Macaca mulatta: one gene and its partners. The protein of the gene in region 2 interacts with the protein of the main gene of each other region in a pairwise test. Links are inferred from orthologs where the notes say so. Each region holds a gene or a part of one and is shown on either strand. Other genes may lie near its edges.

What was found.
Region 1: the proteins of ADRB2 (region 2) and ARRB2 interact in binary tests that used the Homo sapiens proteins (3 or more experiments, as listed by UniProt). The link is inferred for Macaca mulatta from reciprocal best matches to the Homo sapiens genes ADRB2 and ARRB2.
Region 3: the proteins of ADRB2 (region 2) and VAPA interact in a protein complementation assay, tested with the Homo sapiens proteins (2 studies listed by BioGRID and IntAct, with this or other methods). The link is inferred for Macaca mulatta from reciprocal best matches to the Homo sapiens genes ADRB2 and VAPA.
Region 4: the proteins of ADRB2 (region 2) and KCTD13 interact in a protein complementation assay, tested with the Homo sapiens proteins (2 studies listed by BioGRID and IntAct, with this or other methods). The link is inferred for Macaca mulatta from reciprocal best matches to the Homo sapiens genes ADRB2 and KCTD13.
Region 5: the proteins of ADRB2 (region 2) and SLC52A2 interact in a protein complementation assay, tested with the Homo sapiens proteins (2 studies listed by BioGRID and IntAct, with this or other methods). The link is inferred for Macaca mulatta from reciprocal best matches to the Homo sapiens genes ADRB2 and SLC52A2.

The regions. Positions count from the first base shown.
Region 1 is NC_133421.1:6,238,014-6,244,219, reverse strand, and holds the start of ARRB2 (beta-arrestin-2), read right to left. Parts: upstream 3,865-6,206; 5' UTR 3,788-3,864; coding exon of another isoform or gene 3,765-3,787; 5' UTR 3,736-3,764; coding exon 3,602-3,735; exon of another isoform or gene 1,564-3,601; intron 886-1,563; exon of another isoform or gene 684-885; intron 1-683. UniProt on the Homo sapiens protein: Functions in regulating agonist-mediated G-protein coupled receptor (GPCR) signaling by mediating both receptor desensitization and resensitization processes.
Region 2 is NC_133411.1:157,783,205-157,788,578, reverse strand, and holds ADRB2 (beta-2 adrenergic receptor), read right to left. Parts: upstream 2,709-5,374; 5' UTR 2,669-2,708; coding exon 1,421-2,668; 3' UTR 1,389-1,420; downstream 1-1,388. UniProt on the Homo sapiens protein: Beta-adrenergic receptors mediate the catecholamine-induced activation of adenylate cyclase through the action of G proteins. The beta-2-adrenergic receptor binds epinephrine with an approximately 30-fold greater affinity than it does norepinephrine.
Region 3 is NC_133423.1:80,873,552-80,879,706, forward strand, and holds the start of VAPA (vesicle-associated membrane protein-associated protein A), read left to right. Parts: upstream 1-2,771; 5' UTR 2,772-2,996; coding exon of another isoform or gene 2,997-3,075; intron 3,076-3,308; exon of another isoform or gene 3,309-4,071; intron 4,072-6,155. Other genes in the region: uncharacterized protein LOC114673840, read right to left, coding at 2,036-2,081, 2,282-2,553. UniProt on the Homo sapiens protein: Endoplasmic reticulum (ER)-anchored protein that mediates the formation of contact sites between the ER and endosomes via interaction with FFAT motif-containing proteins such as STARD3 or WDR44.
Region 4 is NC_133425.1:28,639,107-28,645,328, reverse strand, and holds the start of KCTD13 (BTB/POZ domain-containing adapter for CUL3-mediated RhoA degradation protein 1), read right to left. Parts: upstream 3,534-6,222; 5' UTR 3,352-3,533; coding exon 3,108-3,351; intron 396-3,107; exon of another isoform or gene 393-395; coding exon 223-392; exon of another isoform or gene 1-222. UniProt on the Homo sapiens protein: Substrate-specific adapter of a BCR (BTB-CUL3-RBX1) E3 ubiquitin-protein ligase complex required for synaptic transmission.
Region 5 is NC_133413.1:154,752,363-154,758,643, reverse strand, and holds SLC52A2 (solute carrier family 52, riboflavin transporter, member 2), read right to left. Parts: upstream 3,486-6,281; 5' UTR 3,421-3,485; exon of another isoform or gene 2,964-3,420; intron 2,829-2,963; exon of another isoform or gene 2,825-2,828; 5' UTR 2,719-2,824; coding exon 2,589-2,718; intron 2,487-2,588; coding exon 1,619-2,486; intron 1,522-1,618; coding exon 1,398-1,521; intron 1,313-1,397; coding exon 1,100-1,312; 3' UTR 841-1,099; downstream 1-840. Other genes in the region: FBXL6 (F-box/LRR-repeat protein 6), read left to right, coding at 3,579-3,982, 4,227-4,385, 4,512-4,575, 4,893-5,024, 5,099-5,206, 5,299-5,412, 5,481-5,712, 5,946-6,192. UniProt on the Homo sapiens protein: Plasma membrane transporter mediating the uptake by cells of the water soluble vitamin B2/riboflavin that plays a key role in biochemical oxidation-reduction reactions of the carbohydrate, lipid, and amino acid metabolism.

The DNA of each region.
Region 1 (6,206 bases), on a different chromosome or scaffold from region 2:
ACTGGTTGCCCTAGGAACCACCCAGGCTCTTCCCAGAGGACCAGAATGGGCAGGTTGCCTCAGTGTCTGGGTAAGACCTAACCATCTTTCCATCTGGTCTACAGCGCTGACTGCTGGAGCATAGAGGAGAGCAATGACCCTGGCCTTTGGCCCTAGATGGTTTCTACCATAGGCCCTACCCAAGTTTGACTCTACTCTACTCACCTCCAACTGTCCCCAACTCCGACCTCAACAGCTTAAAAGCCTGTTTGAACGCCCAGCCTTTAGGAAGCTGACCCAGCCCAGACTCTGGTCACTCCTTGTTTTGGGTTCCTGTCACACCTTGTTGATGTTTTACTTGTGGTGTGGTAGCACACACGGACAGTTAGCTGCCTCCCTCCTCAGACTGTGAGCCTCGGAGGCCTTATTCATTTACGCATCTCCAGCACAGTGCCACCCAGATCATGAAGATGCTAATGCTGCTAACATTCAGAGTGACTTCTCCATGCCCAGCACCGTTCCACGTGTTTCAAATGTGTCATCTCTTGTAATACTCTGTTGTTTGAGACGGAGTCTCGCTCTGTTGCCCAGGCTGGAGTGCAGTGGCGCAATCTCAGCTCACTGCAACCTCCGCCTCCCAGATTTAAGTGATTCTCCTGCTTCAGTCTCCCAAGCAGCTGGGATTACAGGCGTGAGCCACCACGTCCAGGTATGTTTTGTATATATATATTTTTTGAGATGGAGTCTCGCTCTATCACCAAGGCTGGAGTGCAGTGGCACGCTGTCAGCTCACTGCAACCTCCACCTCCTGGGTTCAAGCGATTCTCATGCCTCAGCCTCCTGAGTAGGTGGGATTAGAGGTGCCTGCCATCATGTCTGGATAATTTTTTATTTTTTTGAGATGGAGTCTTGCTCTGTCGCCCAGGCTGGAGTGCAGTGGCGCAATTTTGGCTCACTGCAACCTCTGCCTCCCAGGTTCATGCCATTCTCCTGCCTCAGCCTCCCGAGTAGCTGGGACTACAGGTGCCCACCACCACGCCCGGCTAATTTTTTGTATTTTTAGTAGAGACGGGGTTTCACCGTGTTAGCCAGGACGGTCTTGATCTCCTGACCTCGTGATCCGCCAGTCTCGGCCTCCCAAAGTGCTGGGATTACAGGTGTGAGCCACTGCGCCTGGCTGCTAATTTTTATATTTTTAGTATAGATGGGGTTTCCCTATGTTGGCCAGGCTGATCTCGAACTCCTGACCTCAAGTGATCCGCCCGCCTCAGCCTCCCAAAGGGCTGGGATTACGGGCTTGAGCCACTGCGTCTGGCCTGTATTTTGTAGTTTTTTAGTAGAGACAAGGTTTCCCCAAGTTGGCCAGGCTGATCTCCAACTCCTGACCTCAGGTGATGCACCCGCCTCAGCCTCCCAAAGTGCTGGGATTACAGGCGTGAGCCACCACGCCCGGCCTTAGGTTGCAGTGAGCCAAGATTGCGTCACTGCACTCCAGCCTGGGTGACAGAGCAAGACTCCATTTCAAATAAATAAATAAATAAATAAATAAATAATAAAATAAAATAAAACTACCCAGTGATGGAGGTCCTAATGTCTCTATTTTCCAGGTGAGGAAACTGAGGCAGAGAGAGGTTAAGTGTTTTAAGGTCACAGAGAGAGTAAATGGTGGGAATTAATAGAAACCAAGGCGGTCTGGCTCCGAGTCCATCCTCTCAATCAATATTACACTATCCGTCTCTGTAGCTGGCATCAATAGTTTGTTCAATTGAAGGGTATTCGCTTTCCAGTTGCTGAAACAATTTAAGCCTGGACTCCACCCACTGCTGGGAGGGTAAGGAAGTGTTTGGCAATCCCAGTGATATGGCCAATTGTGAGCCTATTCTTTGAAGCATCACCTTACTCCTTCCAATCCACTCTGCCTCAGCAGTGATCCCTGGAAAGGATCCTCAGATAGACAGCAGAACGTGAAATCCTGCCAACTAGCCCATCCCTCCTCCAACTCTACCACCCCATTCCCAGAGGACCCCAATGGGCAGGTTGCCGCAGTATCTGGGTAAGACTTAACCATCTTTCCATCTGGTCTACAGCTCTGACAGCTGGAGCATATAGGAGAGCAATGACTCTGGCCTTTGGCCCTAAATGGTTTCTACCATAGGCCCAGTTTCTGCTACAACTTCACTTGTCCCTTCTTCCCAGAAAGCCAAGCTGTCCAAAGATTATAAGGTAAAGGGTATGGAGGCCCCCAGGTATTCCTAACCAATAAAAGGGAATAAACATCGATACGGTGGCAGCTAGAATAAACATCCTATCTTTTGTCCCAACTTGGGGGCTGAGTGCTGTGGCATCATCCAGGCTCTCCCTCCCCTTTGCTTCTGGTTTTCCTCTTTGTCCCAGGGTGTCCTCCCATTAGGAGCCCTGGCACAGGGCTGTGACAGCCACAGTCAGTGGGCCAACTGCAGTGTGGCTCTGGGGCAACTGCCCTGGAGCAGCTGCAAGGCACCTGCCCTTTGGATCCTAACCCAGCCACCTCCTGCCAGGCTGAGGAGGAGCAGCGTGCAGATACTAGGCTGGCCAAGGAGGCAGAGTGTGGGGATGACCAGGGAGGTGCCCAATGGGGGCAGGGGTAGCTGAAGCAGATGTCCTTTCACACTTCCTGCTATTCTCTCCATTTCCTGTGGCCCAGAATTTGATGGAGGTGAGGGAAATTGGGTCAAGTCAGCAGTCCCCTTTGGTCCATCTGTCCCACTCCTTGAACCACATAACGGAAATCAGGGGCCTCCCACAAGGCAGCAACTTCCCCTTTCTCTGGGATGTTTAAACCCTAATCCAGGATACCGATCATCTCTCTGATGATCTCTTTCTGATACTCATCTACTTGACGCTCAGAAACCTGGGTTCTCCTACTCTATAGGTTGGAAGTGGGGTCGATATGATGCTTTGCAGAGCAAGCCAGAGCTCAGGACCAATTCCCTATTCCCGATCCCCTCTGGGTTGAGGCCTACAGCCCCAACCTTTCTGTCTTTTGCTCCTGCTCCCCTGGGACTCAGGCATTCACCCCTTACCCCTTGGGGGTGTTGAGTCACAACAGGAAGTGGATTTTGCTAGAGACCAAAAAAGAGAACTCGGGGTATCAGTGGAAGGAAAGAGCCTCGATTGCACAGAAAACATCCGGGGAGTGGACGCGCGCCCAGCGTGAATACTGCCTCCCCCACCCCCAGGGAGAGGGATCCGATCTAGTTTCAGGAAGGGTCAGGCTCTCCCAAGATGAAGCTGTTGCTCCTGGCAACCCAGGGGAAGGTAGAAGTTTGGATGAGGAGCCACCCGGCCCTCGGGACAGGTGTGGGCAGCGCGACTACCTGGGGGATATTGGACAGGAGGCTTTGCATTGGCTTGGCACGAGTCTGGAGGGGATCCCCCTCCCAGCATCCAGCCTCCCCGTACACGACCCCTCGGGGCCAGCCACCTGCTCCTCCCTCCGTCCCTGCATCGCAGCCTGCCCAGACTCCTGGGCACGGGAGAGCCCAGTAGTCTGGCCCCACATCCCTGAGAGAACCCCGACACCGGTTTTTCTGATCCCCCTCCGGCCTCGCTTTCTGCAGGGGCCCGGGCATTTCCCCCCAACCTCATTATCCTCGAGGACCTGCGCGTGCGGCCCCGGATGGCTGTCCCTAGGGACCCAGGCGTCCGGCCCCCAGATCCTCTCCGCGGCGTCCTCGTCTGGGACCGTCCCAGCCCCCGCCCCGAGCCGCCGCCCATGCCCCGCCGCGTGGCCCCACCTCCCTTACCTGGTCCCGGGTTTCTCCCCCATGGTGCGCGCGCCCGCCGCCCGCTCGGTTCGCGGCTCGCTCGCAGCCTCCTCGCCCGCTGCCAAGATCCCTGCTCCTCCCCGCGCCAATGCGCACGCGCGCCCTCCGCGCTCTCGCCTCTTCCCCCTCCCTCCCGGCCCGGCTCTGGTCTGGGGGAACCGGGGCCAGATGCGTCAGCCGGATCGCGCGCGCCGCGGCGCTGCCCGCCCTCTCCTAGCAGACACACGGGGCCATTGGCTCCGCCCCCAACCCTTCGCGTTCCGTCCCAGCCGGGGAGCCCTCCCCCGCGCGCGGGGCCCGCTCCCGCTCTTCCCGCCCATCTCCCCGCCCCGCCGCAACCCCTTGAAACCGATTGGGCCCCCCTAAACCAAGGCTCCCGCCTTCCAGGGGATCTAAGTCTTTCGATTGGCCCTCGGCATCCAGAACCTTTAGGGGTCTCCTCCCCTTTGTTTGCTTTCTCAGTGGCGGTGGGGGCGACCGGGCTGTTGGGGGCGGTGGAATGAGCTGAAGCGCCGTCTGGGAAGGAGGATGGTGGGGGGGAACACGTGGGTGAGCAGTTCAATTGCGTGATACTTGCTTCAGTGCGCGCGGCTCACCTGCTCCACGCGGAGCGTACCGCCTTCTGTGGCCAGCCCTCCCGCTTCTTCACCGCAGCGTGTCAGCTCCTCCTGGTGTCTACATTTGATCTTCGCAGGGTTCCCTTTTCCAATGTCTCTGACTCTCCATCTCCTTCACCCACCCATCCCAGCTAACATCCACTCACTCACTCGCTCGCACCCATCGGTCCATCTATCGACCCACCCATCCGTGCCTATTTTATGCTATTTACTATGCCAATCGATGGGGACACATATGAATTACCATGGCCCCTGACTTCCTAGAATAGTTGAGGAGACACATACACAGGTATTACCCAGGTATGCTATTACAGAGGTCTGAGTCAGAAGACACAGCCACTAACAGCGCTCGGCCCGGGCGGGGGTGGAGCGGAGAACAAATGAGGACAGTCTTTCTGAAGGATGTGCAGAAGTTTTTTTTCGTTTTCTTTTTTTTGAGATAGAGTCTCGCTCTGTTGCCCCGGCTGGAGTGCAGTGGCGCGATCTCGGCTCACTGCAACCTCCGCCTCCCAGGTTCAAGCACTTCTCTGCTCAGCCTCCCGAGTAGCTGGGATTACAGGCGCCTGCCACAATGCCTAGCTACTTTTCATATTTTTAATAGAGACAAGGTTTCATCACGTTGGCCTTGCTGGTCTCAAATGCCTGACCTCGTGTTCCACCCGCCTCAGCCTCCCAAAGTGTTGGGATTACAGGCGTGAGCCACCGTGCCGGGCCGGGCAGAAGTTAAGACAGGGCATTCCAAAGAGAAAGACAAGGCACATCCTGTTGTGTGGTGTTGGTGGGGAAGCCTGGAACAGGTTGTGGAGGATTTTGTATAGCAGATGAAGGAGCGAGACTGAGGGCCCCGCAGAAGGACACGAGGAACCAGTAGTGGTTTTTAAAGCAGAGGGGGCCGCGTGCAGTGGCTCACACCTGTAGTCCCAGTACTTTGGGAGGCCGAGGTGGGCTGATCACCTGAGGTCAGGAGTTCGAGACCACTCTGGCCAACATGTTGAAATTTAGGCTATAATCCCAGCTACTCATGAGGCTGAGGCAGGAGAATCACTTGAACCTGGGAGGCAGAGGTTGCAGTGAGCTGAGATCGTGCCATTGCACTCCAGCCTGAGTGACAATAGCGAAACTTCATCTCAAAAACAAACAAAACAAACAAAAAACCTCCAAAAACCCAAAAATGAGCCAAGTATAGTGACTAGTGCCTAGAGTCCCAGGTACTAGGGAGGCTGAGGTGGGAGGATCGCTTGAGCTGGGAGGTCAAGGCTGCAGTGAGCTGTGATCGTGCCACTGCACTCCCGCCTGGGGAAATATCTTTTCAGCACCTTTTATGTACCAGGCACTCTTCTAGGTGATGGGAAGAGCATAGTGTAGGAGACAACAGCCCTTTCATGGAGTTTGTATTTTAGACAAAAGAGATAGTTAATACATAAGAAAGCAAATAAAGTTCTGGTAATGACATGAATTATAAGCAGGGAAATGTGATGGAGGCTGATGGGGGTTGGAGTGGGAGCTACCTGAAAAGAAGCCCTCTCAGGATGGCAAGATAGTGTCAGTTACATAGGATCAAAGGACAGTTTCTCCAGCAGAATCAGCAACATGTGCAAAGGTTCTGATGTGGGAATGGGTTTTGCTGGAGAATAGAAAGTAGCCTAGTTTGGCTCAAGAATAGAAAGAGAGAAGGAAAGTTGTACTTGTGGTATGTGTTGAGGTCAGGGAGGTGGGTATGAGTCAGATTGGGTGGATTCTTGTAGGCATCAGTGAGAAGATGGGATTTCATTCTCATCACATTTGGAAGCCACAGAGGGGTTTA
Region 2 (5,374 bases):
TATCTGCTGAGATTTTTAGTTTCTACCAGTGACTCTCAATCAGGGGCTAATTCACACCTCAGGGGCTCTTTTGCAATATCTGGAAACATTTTTGCCTGTTATAAGCAGGGGATGCTCCTGGCATCTAATGAATAGAGGCCAGAGGTGCTAAACATCCAATGATGCAGCCCTCACAACAAAGAGTTATCTGGTCCAAAATGCTAACAGTGCCAAGACTCAGAACCTTGGTTTATACTGAACCGAGGAGAGTCAGTGGGAGAAGAAAACAGGGACCAAAGGAAAGAAGGAAAAGGGGTTAAAATTCTATTTCTAGGTCACGTGGTATCCATCAGTTATGTGTTCTCCAGTTTTTCTCCCCATGACCAATGCCTTTTTAATTTTCCCTCGGAATTACGGGGCCATGTTCGAGTAGCTTCCTCACAAGAACATCTTCCTTATCCCTAAAATGCCAAGCCCTGATGCAGTACAAAGAGCTCCACTATAACACATGGCCAAGACATAAATATAAACAGTTATGAAACAAGTAGAACTGGAAGGTGGGTGGTGGGGGCGCGTGGAGAGAAAAAAAACATATGCCCATAACTCCGCTTCTGTGAGTCAGTGTTTCCGAGGTAACAACACAGAACAATAACCATAGGGAGAGTTGAGCTATACTAAGAGCAGGCAGAACTGATTTGGGGCATGAGTGTCAGGAGAGATGCAGCTTTGCAGCAGCAGATTCAAAGGCAAATGAAAGGGTTAAGCAATCTGTGCATGTCATTCTTGTATCATTCTACATTAAGTCATGGGCAGTTATTACAAGTAGTTACCTGTGGTTTCCAGTCGGGGAGGCAATGGCACTCCAGACAAGGGGTTTTGGAGAAACAGGTGCAATGAAGGCATGGTCAAACAATTTATTTACTGTAAACTTTAGACTTTGCTCAGGAAAACAACTGAAGCTGCTCCTCAAATCCCTGCCTAAAATACCCCGTGTGAGCAAATAAGAGGAGCGGGGAAGAGTCCATGTTCACAGCTGAAAGGTCCGAGATATTCAAAATCCTCAAGTCCGAGGGTGTGGGAAGGAAAATCTCCTTCAGATACAAATTACCAGCAGCAATATATTACCCCTAATACTTGAATAGTGAGGTAGATACATGGAAAAGTCATGAAAACATAGCAGACTCAGGTCCTCTAGGACTAAAGCCCTTTAGACATAAACTTACAAATTCCATGCAAAGAGGAACTGAACTGTACAAATAACAAATAATCACCAAATAAGTTTTCTCTCTTTTTACAGCTTAAAAAAATAAAAAAGGCAGAAGGATGCCCCTCCTCCTGCATATCTCTATACAATTTTATTCTAAGTTTATTACCCTCAAGTTAAATAGTCTGTTTAGTGTTCTGTTGGGGGGGGGTGGTCTTAAAAAGTAGAAAAACTGCTTTACAGCAGTGAGTCATTTGTACTACAACTCCTCCCTTGTGAATCAATGTTATCGCTAGGCACAGTACCTTGATGGCCCACAAAGTCTTCCGTGCCTGGGAGGTCTTCACACAGCAGTTTATTTTCTTTCTCCTGTTCCAGGTGATATCCACTCTGCTCCCCTGTGTTGCCATTGCTGTTGCTGGAGTAGCCATTCCCACAGGCCTTCAAAGAAGACCTGCGCAGACACAGAAGCTCCTGGAAGGCAATCCTGAAATCTGGGCTCCGGCAGTAGATAAGGGGATTGAAACCAGAATTGACATAGCCCACCCAATTTAGGAGGATGTAAACTTCCTTAGGGATGAGGTTATCCTGGATCACATGCACAATGTTAACGATGAAGAAGGGCAGCCAGCAGAGGGTGAAAGTGCCCATGATGATGCCTAACGTCTTGAGGGCTTTGTGCTCCTTCAAGCAGAACTTGGAAGATCTGCGGAGTCCATGCCCTGTCCGCCCATCCTGCTCCACCTGGCTAAGGTTCTGGGCATGGAAGCGGCCCTCAGATTTGTCAATCTTCTGGAGCTGCCTTTTGGCCTCCTGAAAGACCCTGGAGTAGACGAAGACCATGATCACCAGGGGAACGTAGAAGGACACGATGGAGGAGGCAATGGCATAGGCTTGGTTCGTGAAGAAGTCACAGCAGGTCTCCTTGGCATAGCAGTTGATGGCTTCCTGGTGGGTGGCCCGGTACCAGTGCATCTGAATGGGCAAGAAGGAGGTAAGGCCTGACACGATCCACACCATCAGAATGATCACCCGGGCCTTATTCTTGGTCAGCAGGCTCTGATACTTGAAGGGTGAAGTAATGGCAAAGTAGCGATCCACTGCGATCACGCACAGGGTCTCAATGCTGGCTGTGACGCACAGCACATCAATGGAAGTCCAAAACTCGCACCAGAAGTTGCCAAAAGTCCACATTTTCATGAGAATATGGGCGGCCCCAAAGGGCACCACTGCCAAGCCCATGACTAAGTCAGCACAGGCCAGTGAAGTGATGAAGTAGTTGGTGACCGTCTGCAGACGCTCGAACTTGGCAATGGCTGTGATGACCAGCACATTGCCAAACACGATGGCCAGGACGATGAGAGACATGACGATGCCCATGCCCACCACCCACGCCTCGTCCCGTTCCTGCGTGACATCGTGGTCCGGCGCATGGCTTCCGTTGGGTGCCAGCAAGAAGGCGCTGCCGTTCCCGGGTTGCCCCATGGCGCGCAGTCTGGCAGGTGAGCGCACTGTCTGCAGGCGCCTCAGCGGGCGGACCCCCGGCGGGGCTCTGCGGGCCGCGAGCGGACTCCTGGAAGCCTCATTCAGCGGCCGTGGGGTGGGTGTGGTGGGGACACGTCTTGTACACTTAGCTTGTCGGGTGCCAGGGGCTCGCGGTGCCCGCCAATTCCAGCCTGTGCTCTGGAGAAGCCGCCTCGGAGTGCGCTCTGCCCGTTATGTGCACAGGACTTTAGGGGAACTGCCCTCGCCGTGACGTAAGGGAACTTTCGGCCAATGGCACGCCGGCAGGCCCGAAGGGGCGAGGCACCCATCCCCTTTCCTCCCCTCCTCTCGCCCTCCCTCTGCTCGGGCTGGCCCGGGAGGGGCCCAGCTGCTCCCCGGCGGGCGGGCCACCACTCCTTCCCGGCTACCCTGGCTGGCCCCAGAGGGCTAAAGCTGGAGCTGGCGTGCTTACCAGCCAACCCAGCAGCTTTTGGCTCTTCTGTGGCCGCTACCTGCCTGCCCTGGGCGCCTGCGCGGCCTGAGGTCTCAGGGCAGAGGGCAGCACACACCGGCACTGCCCCACATTCGGAGAGAAACGAGAGTGCCCACCAAGGCACGCACATACAGGCACAAATACACCCCGGCAGACATGCTCAGACTTATACGGAACCACAGCTATAGACACTGAGACACACCCTCCCGGCTCACCGACATGCACACTCGCGCGCGCGCTCACACAGAAGCTGTCAGGCACAAAGTCACCCCTGTCCAACACAGAAACGCGGCCACAAACAAACACAGAAGCACCCAGAAGCACAAAGGCATGGTGACACACACAGAAAGTAAACACACACGCTGGCTTGGAGGCATCCAGAGCGACACAGACACGGATGTCTCCATCTGGGTACTCACAAACTTCCCTCACCCAAGCACTGCTAATGCCCCCCTCCCAGCATACACCCGGTAACCCAGTATATTCACTTTCAAACATTTGGCAAGAGCACACAGGAGGTGACTTCAACAGCTGCCGATTTCCTCAGCACACTCGTTGTCAAGTACTTTGGGTGCCCTCCTTGGGAATTTGCAGGCATGAAGACAGTTTTACCCTTTGGATTTCACCTGGAGCAGGAGTATGCATGTATGTATTTCGGGACGGAGAGAGAAAGTTGTGTACTTTTGTTTTAATTTTTTTGTTGTTGTTTTGTTTTTAACTCTTGAGAGTGTGGCATCACTCCCTCATTATCTGTTGAACTGGAGATGCACTGAGAATTCAAACAATTTCTTCAGTAATCCCAATGCAACTAAAAAATTCCTTTCATCTGCTGGATAGTTTGTTAATCTTTCGGGTTGCACCATATGAAATTGCCACCATCTGGCGTCTGTGACTTACCAAAATGGCAAATTCATATGGTTCAGAGTCTTAAGAGTGTCTTAACATTAAGAACATTTGGAGCTATAGAAAGCAAAAGATCTTGGCCAATATGGTGTAACTCTGTCTCTACTAAAAATACAAAAATTAGCCAGGCGGGCACTTGTAGTCTTAGCTACTCGGGAGGCTGGGACAGGAGAATCACTTGAACCTGGGAGGTGGAGGTTGCAGTGAGGCGAGACCGTGCCACTGCACTTCAGCCTGGGTGACAGAGCAAGACTCCATCTCAAAAAAATAAATAAATAAATAAATAACAAATATAAATATATATATATAAACAAATATATAAATATATAAATACAAATTATAAATAAATATACAAATAAATAAAAACCAAATATATAAATATATATATATATATTTCTTCCTTATGAAATAAAAAAAGTAAGACCAAACCTCAAAAGTAAGATCTTTGTTCATGAAATACTATCCTTTGCATCTGGCATGTGACTTTACTGCTAAAGTGAAATTAATTTTCAGGGTTTGATTTCCCATGTATTAGTGGTGTCTTTGAAAAACTGAAACTATTTCATGAAGTGTAACTAAACATACTTTGCAGATTACATAATAACATAACAATGGCTAACATTTATGGACCATTCTGCTATGTGCTTTTCATGCATTATTCTATTTAATCCTTCCCACAGTCCCATGGGGGTGGGGACTATTTTTAGCTTAATTAACAAGTGAGGTTCGAAGAGGAAAATGGCCTTCCCAGGGGCAATGGCTGGGCTGTGCCAGAATCTGGATTTGACCCAGGTCTGCCTGAGTCTAAGACCCATCTTTTAATCTTTTCAATGTATTGCATAATTACATGCAGACAGGAGTGATGGACAGGGAGGAAGCACTACAACTGGAATTGGAATACCCACGTTCCAGATTCACCAAACTTGGAGCTTTCTAGTTCATTTTTTTTTCTAAGAGAAATCAAAAGTACCTAATTTCCATTATCTCTAAAGGGGCATAAAGTCTCTTCCATTGGGGTGAGCAAGAATTGAATAATATAGTAAGAAATATGAAAATGCTTTTGCTCATATAAGTGTCACACAAATACAGTTTGTAAGTGAAGTTTATGTAAATTACTTAGCGGTTTAGAATATATTGTTAGTCTTCTCTACTAGAACAATAAAATACTTTAGGGCAAAAGTAAGTTGGGTGTTTACTCTGGAAGCAAAACTCAGAAACAGAATTTAACCTACATGTCCCCTTTAACATCCTTCACAGCAGAAACTGACTTTTTGCAAGACAGATGCCTTAGAAAACAAGTATTTCCGATA
Region 3 (6,155 bases), on a different chromosome or scaffold from region 2:
ATATCAGAATTTTAAATTCTTATATATTTTAAGACTACACCTACAGGATTTTGAAGCAATATTGAGAACTGAACAAACAGTTGATTCCAATGATAGATGACTCAAATGGGCAGAGATTTCTTAATAATACAGACTGGGAAACTAGAATACATCCAATTCAGGCTTCCCATTAAATCTATAGTGAATGGGTGATCACTCATCCTCCTGTAGGGGAGTTACTGGGAATGTCCTCCGCATGCTATTCTGCTGGTTGACTGTTTGCACATGGTGGATTCCCAAAAGCTTTCTGGTAAGAGAAGTGTCCCTCCAGCTATGGAGGGACCAGATCAGCCTAGGCTAGCTGGCCCGTGGAGGAGAGTTCTTAGGCTGGCAAAAAACTGGAGTTTGTGAGGGCCTTTAGGGTTGTCAATTCACAACTAAACCTATATGGGACACTATCCTTTGGACTGATTGTCAATTTTAGCTAATTTTTTCTTTCTTAAACAAAAACAAAAATAACTTGAACCCCTATTTTAATAAACATACAATTTTTTTGTATTCTACCCTAATGACAATCGACATTTCAAAATAAATTTTGTGAAGAGAAAGAAATCACAGTAAAGGTAAATTTAGAATATGCTTCAAACTACTTAAGCACTGTATCCTCCTGCGTCTGGAGTTGATTTCTTCCAGTGGGTTCCTGGTCTCGCTGACTTCAAAAATGAAGCCCTGGACCTTCGCGGTGAATGTTAGAGCTCTTAAAGATGGCACAAACCCAGGTCAGGCATGGTGGCTCATGCCTGTAATCCCAACACTTTGGGAGGCCCAGGCAGGTGGATCACGAGGTCAGGAGATAGAGACCATCCTGGTTAACACGGTGAAACCCCTTCTCTACTAAAAATATAAAAAAATTAGCCAGGTGTGGTGGCGGGCCCCTGTAGTCCCAGCTACTTGGGAGGCTTTGGCAGGAGAATGGCGTGAACCTGGGAGGTGGAGCTTGCAGTGAGCTGAGATTGCGCCACTGCACTCTAGCCTGGGCAACAGAGCGAGACTCCATCTCAAAAAAAAAAAAAAAAAAAAAAAGATGGCACAAACCCAAAGAGTGAGCAGCAGCAAAATTTATTGTGAAGAGCAAAAGAACAAAGCTTCTACAACTTAGAAAGGGACCCAAGCAGGCGGCCCCTGCAGGCTGGGGTGTACAGTTTTTATTCCCTTATTTGTCCCCGCCCATGTCCTGCTGATTGGTCCACTTTACAGAGTGCTGATTGGTCCATTTTACAAACCTATAGCTAGCTACAGACCACTGATTGGTGCATTTTACAAAACTCTAGCTAGCTACAGAATGCTGATTGGTGCATTTCACAATCCTCTTGTAAGACAGAAAAGTTCTCTAAGTCCCCACCGGACCCAGAAGTATGGCTGGCTTCACCTCTCACTCCAAGGAACCACATGGCTGAAGACACATTCCTCCTGGGTGGCACGATCTTCTGTGAATGCCAGGCTAGCGATTCCAGCAGGCTAACGATTCCAGCGATTCCTCTGATACCTGGATCCCACATGAAAACTTGGACTTGGTGCCTACATCTAGACTGCTGTTTCGTCTCATTTATTTTCTAGACAAACTGTGCTGCTCCACAGCGTTAGCATCAATATGTCTTTTGTTTCGTGGAGCTTCCTAGGGATTTAAATTCAAACCGTATCATAAAATACAATAAAGGTTTATTTACAGCACATTGGTTTCATTTGACGTTCCTGTACCAGACTACCGTGGCAATCGGCTAAAGTTTTGTCAACAAGTTTGCTGCTGGGATTTTTCTCATTTGGTTCAGTTTACTACCGCCTATCATAAGTGATGCAGATGGGTTTCGTTTCTAACATGTGAACGTGACAACTGTTTTGGTTTGGATCCATCATTAATCAAAACTGAAGAAGGTTATTGGGTTCGATGGTGTAGATTTGGACTTTTATTTCTAGCTTCTGTGTGCTTTGTCATATTTCCCCTTGCTTCCTAGACGAGATGTGTTTCCTTATCTGATTTTGCATCACTGGAGACAACTCAGGAACCAGGAGAGGCTGGATTGGATACCACAAGGAATGCAGCCCTGCCAACAGAGGGACGGATAGAATTAGAGCAAACGGACACATCCCCCCAGCCTGTTCTCCACAGGGCAGATTTTATTAGTATATTTCTAACATATGGGCCTCGTTTCAGTCTTCAAAAGTTTTTTTTCTAGCGCAAACTAGACGCGCTCTGAGCCAAAATTAGCGTCCGCGAACCCCACCCCATTCGCCTCCAACGGACCTAGCTCGCCTTTCCGCCCACAAACAGCCGTTACTACAGTTCCCAGCAAGCACCGCGCAGGGCCGCAAAGGGCCAGGCCCTCGGCGAATGCCCCGCCCCGCAGAAGGCATGCCGGGAGTTGTAGTGAGTGGGCGCTTCCCCACTGCTTCTTGTCCCTTCCACTGGGCATTCCCACTTGGAAGACTGTTAAGCGCTGCCAGAGCAGTTTCTCTAGTTCCGTATTCGCAGCTCAAGGTGACAGAGGACTGCGCCGCCAGCCCTGCGCTGCGCATCGCGTCGGCCCCGCGGACCTTTGCCCCGCCTCCCTCCACACCCGTTCCCTTGACAGCTGGGCTGCGCACGGGGCCGCGGCAAGCCGCGAGCGCGCAGGCGCAGCAGCCCCGCGCCGCGCTAGGCCGGCCTGGAGGGCGGGACGAGCGCTAGTGGCTCCTGGCCGCCGGGGCGCGCACGTAGGCACGCAGAGGCCGTCACGTGGGGCGCCGAGGATCGCAGTGCGCGTGGCCGTGGCGGCTGGTGTGGGGTTGAGTCAGTTGTGAGACCCGGAGCTGGTGACCCAGCGGGTGGCCCACCGAACCGGCGACACAGCGACAGGCGTCAGGGCTCGGGAGCTGCGAGCCTGGCCTCGTCTTAGAGCTCGGCCGAGCCGCCGTCGACCCCCGCCCCCAGTCAGCAAACCGCCGCCGCGGGCGCGCCCCCGCTCTGCGCTGTCTCTCCGATGGCGTCCGCCTCAGGGGCCATGGCGAAGCACGAGCAGATCCTGGTCCTCGACCCGCCCACAGACCTCAAATTCAAAGGTAGGCAGGACGGGGACACCCCAGGGCTGGCTGGGGCGCGCGGAGGGCTGGCGGGCGGCGGGGGGCGCGGAGGACAACTCGGCCGCCCCGGCCAGAGGGAGCGCCCCCTCCCCCACGCCCCGGCGCCTGCCCTCTCCCGGCTGCTGCCTCGCCGCCGCCTCGGCCGGCCTGCCCCTTGCTCCGGCCCGCTTCGTCCCCTCCCGCCCGCCCGCGCTGCGGTGCGCGCGCCGGCCGGGGCGAGGCGGACGGGAGCCGGGCCCTGGCGCGGCCGCCGCCGCCGCCATCTTGCGGTCCCGCGGGGGCGCCTCCTGGGTGTCCGGTCCCGCCCGAGCCGCCGTCCGCCCGGGCCCGCGTCCCTGGTCCCCGAGGCCGACGGCGTGCTCCGGCGGGGCGTGGGCGGGTGGGCATCGGCGGGCGTGCGCTCTGGGCTGCGGCGGGGAGTGGGCTCTGGAGGTGGCGCAAGCTGCGTCCGTCGCCCGCTCCCGGCTGTCAGCGGCGCGGGGAGGCCAGGGCGCGGCGCGGGACCCCTCGGGAGTGAGACCGCCCCTCGGCCCCTGCCCCGGCCCGGGCAGAGCTGGGAGCAGCCGGCCCTCGGGCTCCGCGGAGCGCGTCGTTTCTCACCTTTCCGCCCGGCTTAGAACTCGGCCGTCAGGTGTAGGGCGCGCCGGGGAGGCGGAGAAGCCCTGGAGGTGCCTGGCGAGGGCTGCCCGGTGCTGTTGGCACGGACCCAGGCGCGTGCGGGCAGCAGCGATGCGTCAGCTGCGAGCGGAGAGTTGTAGGTTCATAGTAAGCGGGGCTTCCTGCCTTCCACGACATTTCAGTGTGCCACCCGCGTGCTTTTATTTAGCCCTTCGGTTGCGCTCCTCTGCTGAGAAACCTTCAGTGCGTGTGACTTTTGCTTTTACGTTTGCGGTTGCCGACAGATCCTGAGAGGCCTGATAAGGTGTGACCCAGCTCTGGAGCTTTGTAGGTTTTTATTTTGTAGCGCTGCCTGTGGTAAGTTTTTAGTCTGACTTGGTGATCCTGGAAGAATCCCAGGGGCTGTTTGGTGCCTTTCCTTAGTCGATATGTGTTGTACTTTAGGAAAGAGAGTAAAACTGTACAGATTTTTTTTTTTCTTCTGTATTCTTAAGGAATACTGAAAGAGTGTGAACATCTGATAGAAAGTAGGTTTCTTCCTATCTTAAGTGTAAAGTGAGGCCCGTTTTGGAAGTCTATGTCTTGTATTTCAGTTGTTGAATGAGAACAATTTTTGTGAGGTGCATAGCAATTCTAGTGCTAAAAGAAAAAGTTAAATCCTTTATTGTTGTGTGAGGTTGAGTCCAAGAGAAGACCAACTACATTATTTCCATAGGAAAAACTTCAGTTTTAGGAATTTAAAATATATTCTGGAATTATGAGATTAATATTGCGTAACTACATTGCAAGCTTTTTAGTGCATTTACAAATTTCTTTGAATAGAAGTAAGTGTAAGCGAGCTACTTGTTGGGTAAGGATTTGGTTTTAAGACAAGGTGCAGTGAATGTATTTTATTGCAAGTTTATGTAAGTTGTGTGATTTTTTTACGTAGTTTTAGCTGGGGGAAAACCTTTGAGGAATTATGAAAAGTCCTAACTCAGCCATTATCTCGAGATAATTTAATGTAAGCCTGTATGATGTGTTTTTTAATATTTCGTTTTTATCTTTTGATTGGCCGTGTTTACAGTGAACATTTCCTCTACTGGATAACTGTGTAAGTTGCCATGAGGGACTTATAAGTATGTGTAAGTTGCCATTAGGACAGTTTTAGGCCAGGAAATGTCCACAGTTTGAAGTTTTTTCTCCTTAGGGAAGTTGTTATGTTGCTATAGTAAGAGACTAATAATAGTGGAGAAGCAGGTTTAAAAAAACAAGCAAAAACCCTACACAGTGACTTACTCTCATATTTCCTTTTTTGGGGGTATTGGAGAATTACAGCTATGATTATAGAACACGTTGTTCTTGTGTTGCCAGTAAAAATGATAAGACTAGCCAGGGAAACAGAAAAGGTATATAGATGGTATAACAGAGACTCAACCCTGTCTGAGGAAAGAAGCCTTCTCTACGTGCCCCATCCCTCCCTTAGGAAATTTTTAAGGAAAAGGCTCGTTTTTCATTTCAGGGGAGGTTTAGGCCAAGAGAGTGGTTGAGTAAACACACTGCTGTGAGAGAATGCCTGGTACTTAAATGCCCAATAGTTTGTTGTGTGTTTCAGTTTAAAGACGGAGATAATGGGGGGGATTGGGAGGTGACATTTGGTGTCTGGTTCCTTAATATTATTTTTTTAGTCAAAGGTAAATTGTTTGCTTGATGGAAACCTTTGTGTATTTAAGTGCACAGCTCAACACTGAGGAGACTCATTTAGAATCTACAGTCTACTTGTGCTTAGTTTGTGATAGAAAAAAATCGTTTAACTGACTTATCCTAAATCATTCAAAACTTTCTTTTTAAGTGAAGGACTTTAAAAAGACAGTTTTGCAGAATTCCTTGTCATCTTCTGGTAGGTTTATTTTAGTTATTTTGATTCTGAGTTTGAGATGGTTTCTCCAGGAGTGACTCAGGTAATCATTCTGAGAGTGGATGGTTTTTCTTTTATACACCCAACACAACCATCTTGAAGATGAATTAACAGCATTTTGCAGAATTTTGCAAAAGCAGATACCAACTAGTTCAGTACTACATTTTTCTGTATACCTAGTATTAAAAAAAAAGTTTTATATAATCATTAACATACAAAAGTGCATTTATGATGATGTAATAAATTCTGAAGTAGATCTCTTGTGTTGATAAAGAAAAAGAAGTAGACACCGCTTTACTTCAAATTCTGTTTAAACCTTGGAAGTAATTTTACCTGGATTTCAGATTTGAAAGTTGGTATTTTATGTGAAAGATTTTTTTTGTCTTTAAAATTTTTTACATGATAAAATTCCGTTTGTAAGTATTACACATTTTATTTTTCTAACTATAGCAGTTTTTTTGTTTTTTATTTTTTGAGATGGAGTCTTGCTCTGTTGCAGTGGCTTGATCTGGGCTCACTACAGCCTCTGCCTCCTGGTTCAAGC
Region 4 (6,222 bases), on a different chromosome or scaffold from region 2:
GTAGCTATTTAACCGTTGCAAACGTCCTGGCATGAGGTTGAGGTTGGGGTGGGGATGCTGCCTGAGGCAGCAGGGATGCAGAAGATGGCACCTCAAATTCTCTGGGGTTATGGTCAGAAGCAGGCTCTCCAAGCCATACCCCGTATCTCCTTTTTTCTGCCCTAATACCTGCTTGGGCAGCTCTCCCAGGAACATAGGCACAGGGACTCGGAAGGCCCTCACCTGCAGCGCCAGCTGGCAGTCCTCAATCAGGCCCTGCACCAGGTAGTAGCGTGCTTCGCCCAGTAGCTCCCCCAGTTCTCTGGTACTCTCCGGCAGTGGCACAGACCCATCCCGCAGGTAATTGAGGATTGTACCAAAGTGGCGGCCGCTCCGGTCAATCAGCACCCAACCTAGTGGGGTGGGGAGAAGCAGGGGGAAAGATGGCTTTGCTGAGTGACCTGGAACTACTAAATTAAAAATTATTTTTTTGTAGAGACGGAGTCTCACTATGTTGCCCAGGCTGGTCTCAAACTCCTGGGCTCAAGTGATCCTCCCATCTCAGCCTCCCAAACACTTGGATTATAGGTGTGAGCCACCAAACCTGGCCTAAATTATAAGAAAAAAGGATTCCAGCCAGGCGTAGTGACTCACACCTGTAATTCCAACACTTTAGGAGGCTGAGGCGGGTAGATCACCTCAAGTCAGGAGTTTGAGACCAGCCTGACCAACACGGAGAAACCCCATCTCTACTAAAAATACAAAATTAGCTGGGCTTGGTGGCGCATGCCAGCTACTTGGGAGGGTGAGGCAGGAGAACAGCTTGAACCTGGGAGGTGGAGTTTGCAGTGAGCCGAAATCGCGCCATTGCACTCCCTGGGCAATAAGACGGAAACTCCGTCTCAAAACAATAAAAAGAAAAAAGAAAAAGAAAAAGAAAAGAAGGCCAGGCGTGGTGACTTACGCCTGTAATCCTAGCACTTTAGGAGGCCGAGGTGGGCGGATCACCTGAGGTCAGGAGTTCGAGACCAGCCTGACCAACATGAAGAAACCCCGTCTTTAATAAAAACACAAAATTAGCCAGGCGTGGTGGCGCATGCCTGTAATCCCAACTACTCAGGAGGCTGAGGCAGGAGAATCGCTTGAACCTGAGAGGCGGAGGTTGTGGTGAGCCGAGACAGCCTGGGCAACAAGAGCGAAACTCCATCTCAAAAAAAAAAAAAGAAAAGAAAAGAAAAAGGATTCCAAAGCCACAAAAAAGTCTGAATACTGATCTGTCTCAAGCCTGTGCCACAGCCAAGAAATCTCTTTAAAACATCTCCAGCGAGTTCTCTCATAAGTTTATACATATCCAGCCAGAGAATTAATTCATCCAAATCTGGTCTACAGTCAGAAGACTCTCACCACGGCCGGGCGCGGTGGCTCAAGCCTGTAATCCCAGCACTTTGGGAGGCCGAGACGGGCGGATCACGAGGTCAGGAGATCGAAACCATCCTGGCTAACACGGTGAAACCCCGTCTCTATTAAGAAATACAAAAAACTAGCCGGGCGAGGTGGCGGGCGCCTGTAGTCCCAGCTACTCGGGAGGCTGAGGCCGGAGAATGGCGTGAACCCGGGAGGCGGAGCTTGCAGTGAGCTGAGATCCGGCCACTGCACTCCAGCCTGGGCGACAGAGCGAGACTCCGTCTCAAAAAAAAAAAAAAAAAAAAAGACTCTCACCACGAGAAAGTTCTTGCAGAATTACCTTATCAATAAACCGCTAACCCCCGATGTTAATTCTCACCATTCTATTTAATTAAAATGTCTACCTCCACCGTCCAGTTCACTGCCATTTTAACTTTTATATTCTTCATAGAACTTACTATCAAAAAAAAAAAAGAAAGAACTTACTACTATCTGCAATTGCATATGCATATACATTTTGTTTACTTGCTTATTGGTCTTCTGATCTCTCACCTCCCTAAAAAAAGGGAAGTTATATAATTTTGTCAGGTTCATTTACCTATCTCCAGCACTAACTGATATTTTACAAATACTCATTGGACAAATGAATTCTTCCTTTTTTTTTCTGAGACAGAGTCTCGCTCTGTCACCCAGGCTGGAGTGCAGCGGCGCCGACTCGGCTCACTGCAACCTCTGCCTCCCAGGTTCAAGCGATTCTCCTGTCTCAGCCTCGCAAGTAGCTGGGCTACAGGCGCACACCACCACGCCCGGCTAATTTTTGTATTTTTAGTAGAGACGGAGTTTCGCCATATTGGTCAGGCTGGTGTCAAACTCCTGACCTCTGGTGATCCACCCGCCTTGGCCTCCCAAAGTGCGGGGATTATAGGCGTGAGCCACCGTGCCTGGCCGAATTCTTCACCTTTGATACCTGAAGGCAGATCTCCGCCTCCCAAATTTTTATTCTACTGCTCTCACAGTCCTTGTTAACCCCTCCCTTAAGACTCTCCCACTCCCAAACTCCAAAACTTCAAGGTCTCACTTGGGCACGAAGGGTCCAAACTTGAATACAACACTCCAAGAAGGTAAGGTTCACCTGCCAAGGACACCTGTCCACCCTCCACTCTGGTGTCCCTGGCAAACCCAAAGCAGCCTCCTTCTGCAATGTGTATATACAGATGGATTCCTAGAGTGTACAGGGACCTGTGTCAGGGCAACACAGAGGCAGACAAGATCTCCCAGCCCTCCTGGCTGGTTGTTAGCAGTTCTGAAGCAGAGAGGGAAACAAAAGGCTGGGCGGTCGGAGGAAACTGATGAAGGCTGCCAGGAGTAGTACTGCAGGCAGCAGGGCTGGTTCCCAAGTCTTGAGCTGAGGCGTGAAGGGTGGGAGAGGTAGTCATGAGGATTATGAACTGACACGTTCAATCACTTACCACAGCGCCTGGCAGAGTTAGGGGTTCCGTAAGTGTTGGTTATTGCTGGGGGTAAAGGATTGGGGGAGGAGAAGAGAAATTATGAATGAGAAAAGGCGAGAAGATGGGATGTCGGGGCTGGAGGGAGCTGAGAATGAGTTGACGGGACAGCAGCGGGCAGAGAGAAGGGGCATGAGGAGCCCCGTTGGTGAGAGACTGAGGGGAACGGGAGTTGGGGATCTGGGGATGGGGGCACGGTGGGGGCGCCGCTAGTACCTCCGGCATCGGTCAGCACCTCCACGCGGCCGCTGAACATGGCCTTCAGCATGGTGTCCTGTCCAGTGAGGGTGCGCAGCGTGGTGTAGTGCAGCGAGCCGCCCACGTTCAGCTTCACGTATTTGCTGTTAGGGGTTAGCGGCTTGAGACCGTAGGCGGCGGGGCCAGGCTCGAGACCGGAGGGCTTGGGGGCTTCCAGGGACGGGGCCGCGGGGACCGCCGGGCCCGAGGCCTCCGCCGACATACCGGGTAGCAGCGGCAGACGGCGATCCCAGGCTCTCTCCGCGCCCTGCGACCTGCTCCCGAAGACCCTCGGCCAGCCCCTAGCCCTCGGGCCAGACCGCTCCGCACACACGCCCACTCACCGCCTCTACTCAGCCAGACCGGCCCTCCGCCCCATCTCGCTCGCACCACCCGGAAGCCAGTGCCGGGTAGCTGCGCAGGCGCGGCCCCGCCCCTGAATGGGGGCGGGGCTGGAGTATGGAGCATGCGCAGTGGGCTTGCTGGGGAAGCCGGTGGATAGGTGGCGTGTGGCCCTAAGGTCCCCCGGGCGGGTCGACGTGCTCTTCCCTCTGGTCTCGAGTCCCCAAGACCAGATCGAGGATGCGGCCGACCCGCTGCCCGATGTGGAAGGCTAAGTCTCCGCCTCGTGATTGGGTCTCTGCTGTCAGAGAGCTTCCCGAGCTTGAGGAGAAACAGACCGTGAGGTCTGGGCATTGGGCAGTTTCCCGCCTCCCAACCCCGCGCACTGAACAGACCGTGACGAGAACTGGAACAAAGCGCGGAGGGAAGCTCTTAAAGGAGGCCAAGGCGGCCGGGCGCGGTGGCTCACACCTGTAACCCCAGTCTGTAAGCCTAGCTACTCGGGAGGCCGAGGCAGGAGGAACGCTTGAAGCCAGGAGTTGGAAGCTGAAGTTGATACATGATCGGACCACTGCACTCCAGCTTGGGCAACATAGCATCCTTTAAAAAAAAAAAAAAAAAGAAGCCAAAAGGGGTAGCAGTGGTGCCCGGGCACCAAGGATAGAAGGCCTCTCTGAGGAGGTGATGCCGAGCTGAAGCTAGGAAGCGGATGTGAGGGAAGAGTTCCAAGCAGAGGGAAGGCAAATGCAAAGATCCTCAAGGCAGGAACACGCTCTCCGTATTTGAGGAGCAGAGTGCGTGTCAGTGGTGGCAGCAGCAGCTGAGCAAAGGTCTTAGAATCCTAGCTAATGTCATGGGACCTAGCACCCAATCCCAAAAGAAAGAAGAAAAGATAGGAACCCACTGTTGACAAGAAGGTGCACTGAGAAGTGTTTTTATCTGACCCGATCTGCATCCAGTTGAGAAGCCGATATATCAGGGATTTAACAATCCACTTCAATGTCTAGCAAGGGAAGTTGCTGGAGGGAAAACACAGAGTCAGAGTTCTATCTTCAGCCCTGCCAGCAGGTCCCTGGGAGATGCTGGACGAGTGACTTTTCTCTGGGCGTGGTTGGTGCAATCACCAACCTCGCAGGAGAGAGGTCAGAGTGTAAATGAGTGACGTAGGCCCGTTACTGGGTATAAGTGGGCTTATAGTGACCGGGAGCTCATGTTCTACCAAAGGGGTTGCCAATTCTGATTTCGAGTGTGGCGGTGTAAAAGAGAAAAGCAACTGCTGCCAGCTGGGAGCTGGTTTGCACCCTCACTCCAGAAGCCTTGATGTTGCTAGGAGCTGGCCTGGCACCAACAGTGAGGCCATGGTGGTGTCCTGTTGAGCATAATTTCACAAAAAACATCAGACAAGGTCCCTCTTTGACTGATGATAGAGTAAAAGACCATTCCATAATTAAGCCTCAACACAGAAACAAGAACATTGTCCAAACCACGAAAATTACCAACACAATCCTTACTCCCACAGGGTAAGTCACTGCTGCTTCTTTTTTGGTTGTTGTTTTTGTCTGTTTTGTTTTGTTTTTGAAATGAAGTCTTGCTCTGTTACCCTGGCTGGAGTGCAGTGATGCGATTTTGGCTCACTGCAACCTCCACCTCCAGGTTCAAGTGATTCTCCTGCCTCAGCTTCCAGAGTAGCTGGGATTGCAGGCAACCACCATCATGCCCAGATCATTTCTGTATTTTTAGTAGAGATGGGGTTTCACCACGTTGCCTAGGCGGGTCTCGAACTCCTGACCTCCAGTGATCTGCCCGCCTCGGCCTCCCAAAGTGCTGGGCCTACAGGCATGAGCCACTGCACCCGGCCACTGCTGCTGCTTTACTAAGTACAGTTTTAGCTTGATTCATTCCTCCCATCTGCTAGATAAGAATTATTAAGATAACCAAAAATAATTATCCCTACCTCCTGATAGCATCCAACTCAGAGCAAATGCCCCCCTTTTTGAACCTGCCTAAGAAGTCCCCTAACGAAAGCTCCAATCCTGTAATAAGTCCTTTCACACATGCTCTTGCTGAGATATCCATGTTGTTCAGCTGCGCTTGTTCAACTACAGGTGCTTCCTGGTGGTCCTTGGTTGGAAGATACTATCAGAAATGGAGGAGCAACGAAGATTCAGCTGAAGCCCTCACTGCCTGGGACTGGGACCCTTGACTCATCATTGTATGTACACCTGAAACTGCTTATGTCTCTGAGGTGCCATCCTACTGATAGTTGAGAGCTAATTGAATTGCGTTCTGATATTTTGTTGATATCCGTAAGCATTGGGTTTACTTTTTATTTTATTTATTTATTTATTTATTTGTTTATTTATTTATTTATTTATTTTTGAGACGGAGTTTCACTCTTGTTGCCCAGGCTGCAATGGCACGATCTCAGCTCACCGCAACCTCCACCTCCCAGGTTCAAGCGATTCTCCTGCCTCAGCCTCCTGAGTAGCTGGGATTACAGGCATGCACCACCACGCCCGGCTAATTTTGTATTTTTAGTAGAGACAGGGTTTCTCCATGTTTGTCAGGCTGGTCTCGAACTCCTGACCTCAGGTGATCCACCCGCCTCGGCCTCCCAAAGTGCTGGAATTACAGGCATGAGCCACCACCGCGCCTGGCAATGCCAGTTAATTTTTATATATTTTTTTATAGAGATAGGGTTTCGCCATGTTGCCCAGGCTGGTCTCAAACTCCTGAGCTCAAAGTGATCCTC
Region 5 (6,281 bases), on a different chromosome or scaffold from region 2:
TTGGCACGGCCTCCCCCAGCACTTTCTTCCAGATCCTTGCTGCCAGGCTCAGGGGCTCCTCTCAATTAGTTCTTTCGCGGCTCCAGCCCTTTTTGTGGGTGCCTGAGAACCACCCAGCCCAGGATAGGCCATGGTCAGTGCTGAGGTCCTATTCCCTGCAGATGCCAACACTTACAGGCCCAGGCTGCTCAGGGCCAGGGGCGGTGTGCCATCAGCCCAGGGAGAAGGCAGCTGTAGCTAAATCTGCCTAAAGAAAGGGTTTGGGGCCTTTGAGGGTCTGATTGCAGAAGGAGCTGGCACTGAGAGGCTAGAGGCTCAGGGGAGGGGGCAATACTCAGGCCAAAGGGTCCTGACGGGCTAAAACCTTAAACTCTGTCTCTTCTGAGTCCCCCTCACTGAGTACCCCGGTGCCTGCACACCAACCCCCGGTATAAATCCGTAGCAGGATACTCCTGGGAAGCCAGCAGGCAGGCCGTCACTCCAGGGCTAAGGGTGGGCACGGGGCTCGGCACATTGCAGCCCCATCCAACTGACCCTAATGCCCTTGAGAGGTGCTCGTGGAGCAGTGGCCTTGCTGGGAAGAGGCTCCTCTACTCCTCTGACCACCGAAGCTGGTAGCTCCTGTGTGCCCAGAGAGCCCAGGGCAGTTCCAAGAAGGAATGTAGGGGAGTCTGGGCTCAGAGGGCCATGACTGTACGATCTGTGAGACCAGCCTGCGGTGGGTAAGGACCTGCCCAGGGCCTGGAGAGAGGTGGCCCCTGTTAAACAGGCCCGGCCATGGCTCTAGTTCACAGAAGCATCCACACAGAAAGAGATGCTCAAAGAATTAATGCCAACTCATTAAATAAAAATGTTTTATTATGCAAACCACACGTAGGTCCTAGGCTCAGGGGCTTACCCTACAGCCCCCACCGGTCCCTGGCTCCAAGCCTGCTCCCTGCCCTTTCCCCCCGCCCCAGAGAGCCAGGGTCTCCTATGGAGTGTGTGGTGTCCACGAGTGTACCGGTGTGCGGGCCTCCTGGGCTGCAGGCACTCAGGCATGGTGGCAGCGTTGAGGGAAAGACAGGCGTCGGGGAGCGGGGTCCCCACCTGCCCAGGCTCAGGAGTCACAGGGGTCTGCACAGTCCTTTCTGCTGTGGAACACGTGATAGATGCTGGTGGGGGGGAACATAGCAACAGCGCCGAGCAGAGAGCCCACCTGGATGGCCACACCGGCTGCCAGCAATGCCGGCCGGCCCCCGCCATGCAGCAGGGAGCTAGCTGCCACCTTCACGTAGGAGAAAACACCAAGACACAGCACCCACGACAGGACCTGAGGGGACACAGCAGCAGCTGAGCGTGAGATGTGCCTGCTCCACGAAAACGCCCCCACCCCACTTCACGTCCCGTGTGCTCACCACGAGGACCACCCCTGCCGAGGTGCCCACCAGGGGCGGGCAGGGGCTCAGGACTGCCAGCGCCATCAGGTAGCCCCCAAAGAGCACGCCCAGCAGAGAGAGGCCGCCCAGCCCTGCCAAGGATCTGTAGAGAGTGAGCAGAGTGTCAGGGCTGACTGTGCCAGGACCTGGCTCCCAGCCCTGAGTTCCACCCGCACAGGGGCTGAAGGGCCCTTGTGTACCTGCACAGCACACCCATGGCCAGGAAGCAGGCCAGGGGATTGGCAGCACTGCCCAGCACCACAGCCAGGTGGTAGGCCAGACGCCCGTAGGGTAAGCAGGAAAAGCTTTGCACAGCAGGTAGCACGCCGTTGGTCAGTGCGTTGGTGGCAGCCAACAGCCCCAGCAGGCAGGCACTGTGGGCTGAGAGAAGCTGATAGGCCTTAGGGTCTGGACCAGGGGTGGTGCCTGCTGCCTGGCTTGGTGGCTCTTGCAATGGTGAGGCCTCTTCCACCTCTTCCTCTGCTCCTGGGGCTCCCACCTGGAGGCCTGATCCTAAGCCCCCTGTGGGTACAGATGGTGGTGGCAACAGCAGCAGGAGACCCTGAAAGGCAGCAGCTGAAGCGACCAGAAGGGCAGTCAGTGCCCAGAAGAAGGTGCTGGCGGGAAAACGCTCACGGAAGTCGAGTGGGGGGCCGGGGGTGCCGTTGATGGGGGCTGGTGGGCACTCACGGCGGCCCACACCCTGCACTAGGGCCAGCACGCAGGGCAGCAGGGCACTCAGGCCTTGACCCAGGAAGAATGACCGTAAGAAGCGAGGTGGCAGGTGGCTCAGGAAGGGCAGGAAAGTGACATTAGAGGCACAGCATGCCAGCGCCAGCACAAAGGCCAGTGCTAAGAAGGCCACGGAATGCGACTGTCCTGCCACTAGGACCACGCGGTGCCACAGAAAGGCCAGGAGAGCTGTGCCCACCATGCTCAGCACCTGCACCACCCGGATGGGGACCCGCTCGCCCTTTCCTGGGGCCAGCCGCCTCCAAAGGGTCACCACCAGCAGACCCAGGTTCCCCAGCGCCACAAGCACAGAGACGTAGGAGGGGAGACTCCAACCTGCAGGGAAGGGAGGAGACCATGTCAGGGGCATGATACCCAAGGGAAGAAGAACTGACAGGGCCCACCTTCCTGGGCACACCTGCACCTCCTCCCACTCACCCTCCGGAAGCTCTTTGACCACCACAGGTAGTTCCACCCAGATCCCATTGACCGCAGCCCAGGAGCCCATGCCGAAGAGAGCCACCAGCAGGTGGGTCAGCACCGGACGGCCGGGTGTGGGTGCTGCCATTCAGTCCAAGGCTGCGCCCTTCCAGGTCAAGGCAAAGGTCACAGCCAGTTCTTTTCCCACCTAGGTCCAGAGACGCTTTGGCTCTTCTGGGAACTGAAGACCTCTTCTAGCTTGAAAGAAACAGACAAATAGGCAGGATACAGAACCGGAATCAACAGGGTGAGACCAAGGGAACAGGGTGAGACCAAGGGAACAGGGGGAGCCCCGGGCAGGAGTGGGGATGGGGAGGATTGGCTAAAACGTACCCAGCAGCACCGCCCGCCAGCGTCGGGACCGCCGGCAGGTAGGGAAGCAGGAAGCCGGCCCGAGTCGCTGCAGCCCCAGGGGAGGAGGCCGAAGGAGCGAGTGGAGCCCTCCTCTCCAGGGAGAGGCGGGGTTGGAGTCACTGCAACCACCACCCCAAGCCGGACACTGGGACAGGGCGCCTACCAGCAGGAGCCAAGCACGCCCCAGGGCTTCGCGGTGCCCGGGACCGCAGGAGCCAAGTCAGATCCCAGGGGAGTGGCTGGGGCGGCTCTGCTCGTAGGGGCGCCGCCCTCTCACCAGCTTCAGATGGGCGACCCTACGCCTCCCGGTCCCGCGCCCAGTGCGCTCCCGCTCTAGTGCCGGCTTCCCGCCACGCCAGGACGCCGCCGTCCGGCCCAGGGACGCCGCCTCAGTCCAGACAGCCCAGGACCCGACAGCAGCCACCACCAGACTCACCCGCCGCGACTCCGGGCCCGCCCCCGGCATGGCCCACGGCCGGAAGTCCCGCCCCGGAAGCGGGTCAGCGGGCGGGCGCAGAGAAGAGTCGGGGGGTGTCAGTCTGTAAGCCCCGCCCGTTCCGCTCCCTGGAGCTGCCCCAAGCGCCGTCGGTGGTCATGGCTTCCCCGGCCTCCCGGAAGGTCCGGCGCAGAGCTCGGGCAGCGCCGCGGGCCCGCTCGGCCGAGGACTGGTGGTGGGACCGGCTGGCGCCGAGCGGCTCGGGGTACCACCTGCTTCCGTCCGACAGCATGCTGCTGGTGCTGTCCGAACCCGGACCCGCCCGGACCCGCGCACAGCGACGCGCTGCCCGCCGCACTCCCCGCGCTGCCCGCCGCACTCCCCGGCAGCCGCCCCCGGGCCGCGCCGCGGCCAAGCCCAAGGCCACGCTCAGGCCCGACCCGGCGCCCTCGCCCGAGGAAGGGCCCGACGCGGGCTGGGGAGACCGCATTCCCTTGGAAATCCTGGTGCAGATTTTCGGGTTGTTGGTGGCGGCGGACGGGCCCATGCCCTTCCTCGGCAGGTAACGCTGCTGCCGGGCCCGTCGCCGAGCGCAGCGACTTGGGCCAGACGTGGTCCGAGCAGTGGCCCGGGCGGGGGCGGAGGGCGAAAGCATCGGAGCGCGCACCCCTCCGCCCGAGAGCGCAGCCCCTTAGGCGCCCGGTTGGAGTCCCAGGAGCCCGGCTTTGAGCCGGGATGTCCACTGCGCTGCGAGAGGGGGTATCACCTACGAAGGGGCCGGCAGCCTCAGCACGCTGTCCTCCCAGGGCTGCGCGCGTGTGCCGCCGCTGGCAGGAGGCCGCTTCCCAACCCGCGCTCTGGCACACCGTGACCCTGTCGTCCCCGCTGGCCGGCCGGCCTGCCAAGGGCGGGGTCAAGGCGGAGAAGAAGCTTCTTGCTTCCCTGGAGTGGCTTATGCCTAATCGGTGAGGGGTTCCCTCTTTTCCTTGTCCCCTGGCTCCAGGCTCCTTCTGTCTCCCTGCACCAAGGTGTTGGGTGGGAAGGACTCGTGTGGGAACATTAGTGCAGCTCTGCCTCTGCTGTCGGCCCAGGTTTTCACAGCTCCAGAGGCTGACCCTCATCCACTGGAAGTCTCAGGTACACCCCGTGCTGAAGGTGAGAGCTCCAGGCTGCCCTGCACACCAGCTGTGACCCTCTGGGACTGTTGAGTACTCTAGGAAGTGGGTCAGGCACCTTGAGGGCCCAACGCTGCTCCATCGGGAGGTCTGCCTGCCTGCCTGGTTCTCCTTTCCTGCTGTTTCCTCCAGCAGGGAGGTGTCAGAGGCGGGGACACCCAAGTAGGCCTGACATGGGCAGAAAGGAGGTCGCAGCTAAGGCGGTAGCGTGGGGTTGGCACCAGCCACCTGTTTGTTTCCCTTGTGGATCTTAGCCTGCCCTCTCCCAACCCCAGCTGCCCCTCTGTCTCCCCGCAGCTGGTAGGCGAGTCCTGTCCTCGGCTCACTTTCCTAAAGCTCTCCGGCTGCCACGGTGTGACTGCTGATGCTCTGGTCATGCTAGCCAAAGCCTGCTGCCAGCTCCATAGCCTGGACCTACAGCACTCCATGGTGAGCCCTGTGTCCCAAGGGGCCCTGAAAAAGCCCAGGCTGGGGTGACGGGTGCTCTTGTATTGGGACCCTAGGTGGAGTCCACAGCTGTGGTAAGCTTCTTGGAGGAGGCAGGGTCCCGAATGCGCAAGTTGTGGCTGACTTACAGCTCCCAGACGACAGCCATCGTGGGTGCACTGCTGGTAGGTTGGCATTGGTGGGAGCAGAGGCAGATGCTGAGCCGGGGACTGCCAGGCCACTGACCCTGTGACCCCCTTCCCCCGCACCTCTGCAGGGCAGCTGCTGCCCCCAGCTCCAGGTTCTGGAGGTGAGCAGCGGCATCAACCGTAACAGCATTCCCCTTCAGCTGCCTGTTGAGGCTCTGCAGAAAGGCTGCCCCCAGCTCCAGGTACCTGGCGCCCTGCCTCTCCCACCTTTTATACGCTCCCCTATCTACAGCCTGGGCCTTGCCCCCAGGTGCTGCGGCTGCTGAACCTGATGTGGCTGCCCAAGCCTCTGGGACGAGGGGTGGCTCCCGGACCAGGCTTCCCTAGCCTGGAGGAACTCTGCCTGGCGAGCTCAGCCTGCAACTTTGTAAGCAACGAGGTCCTGGGCCGCCTACTCCACGGCTCTCCCAACTTGCGCTTACTAGATCTTCGTGGCTGTGCGCGCATCACGCCGGCTGGCCTTCAGGATCTGCCGTGTCGGGGTCAGTGGTTCTGGGTTGTGGCCAGGCGCATGAGATGTGGGGGCCCTTGTGCCATGCTGGAGTCAGTGGTCCTGGGTGGTGGGCAGGCAGGTGAGGTGTGGGTGGTGGCTGAATGGGTGAGGTGTGGGGACCCTTGTGCTGTGCCAGGGTCAGCGGTCCTGGGTGGTGGCCGGGCGGGTGAGTTGTGGGAGTCCTTGTCGCCCTGCAGCTTATGCTCACTCCTCTCACCTCAGAGCTGGAGCAGCTTCATCTGGGCCTGTATGGCACGTCAGACCGGCTGACTCTAGCCAAGGAGGGCAGCCCCCTGTTGACTCAGAAGTGGTGCCATACACTGCGAGAACTGGACTTGAGTGGCCAGGGTTTCAGTGAGAAGGACCTGGAACAGGCCCTGGCTGCCTTCTTAAGCACCCCTGGGGGCTCACACCCAGCCCTGTGCTCTCTTAACCTCAGGGGCACCCGGGTCACACCCAGCACGGTCAGGTCAGCATCCCTAACCCCAGTCCCTGGAGCCAGGGTGGCTGTCACCGCATCTGCCTGGGGCCTGGAAGTGGTGTCCTGCCTGGCCTGAG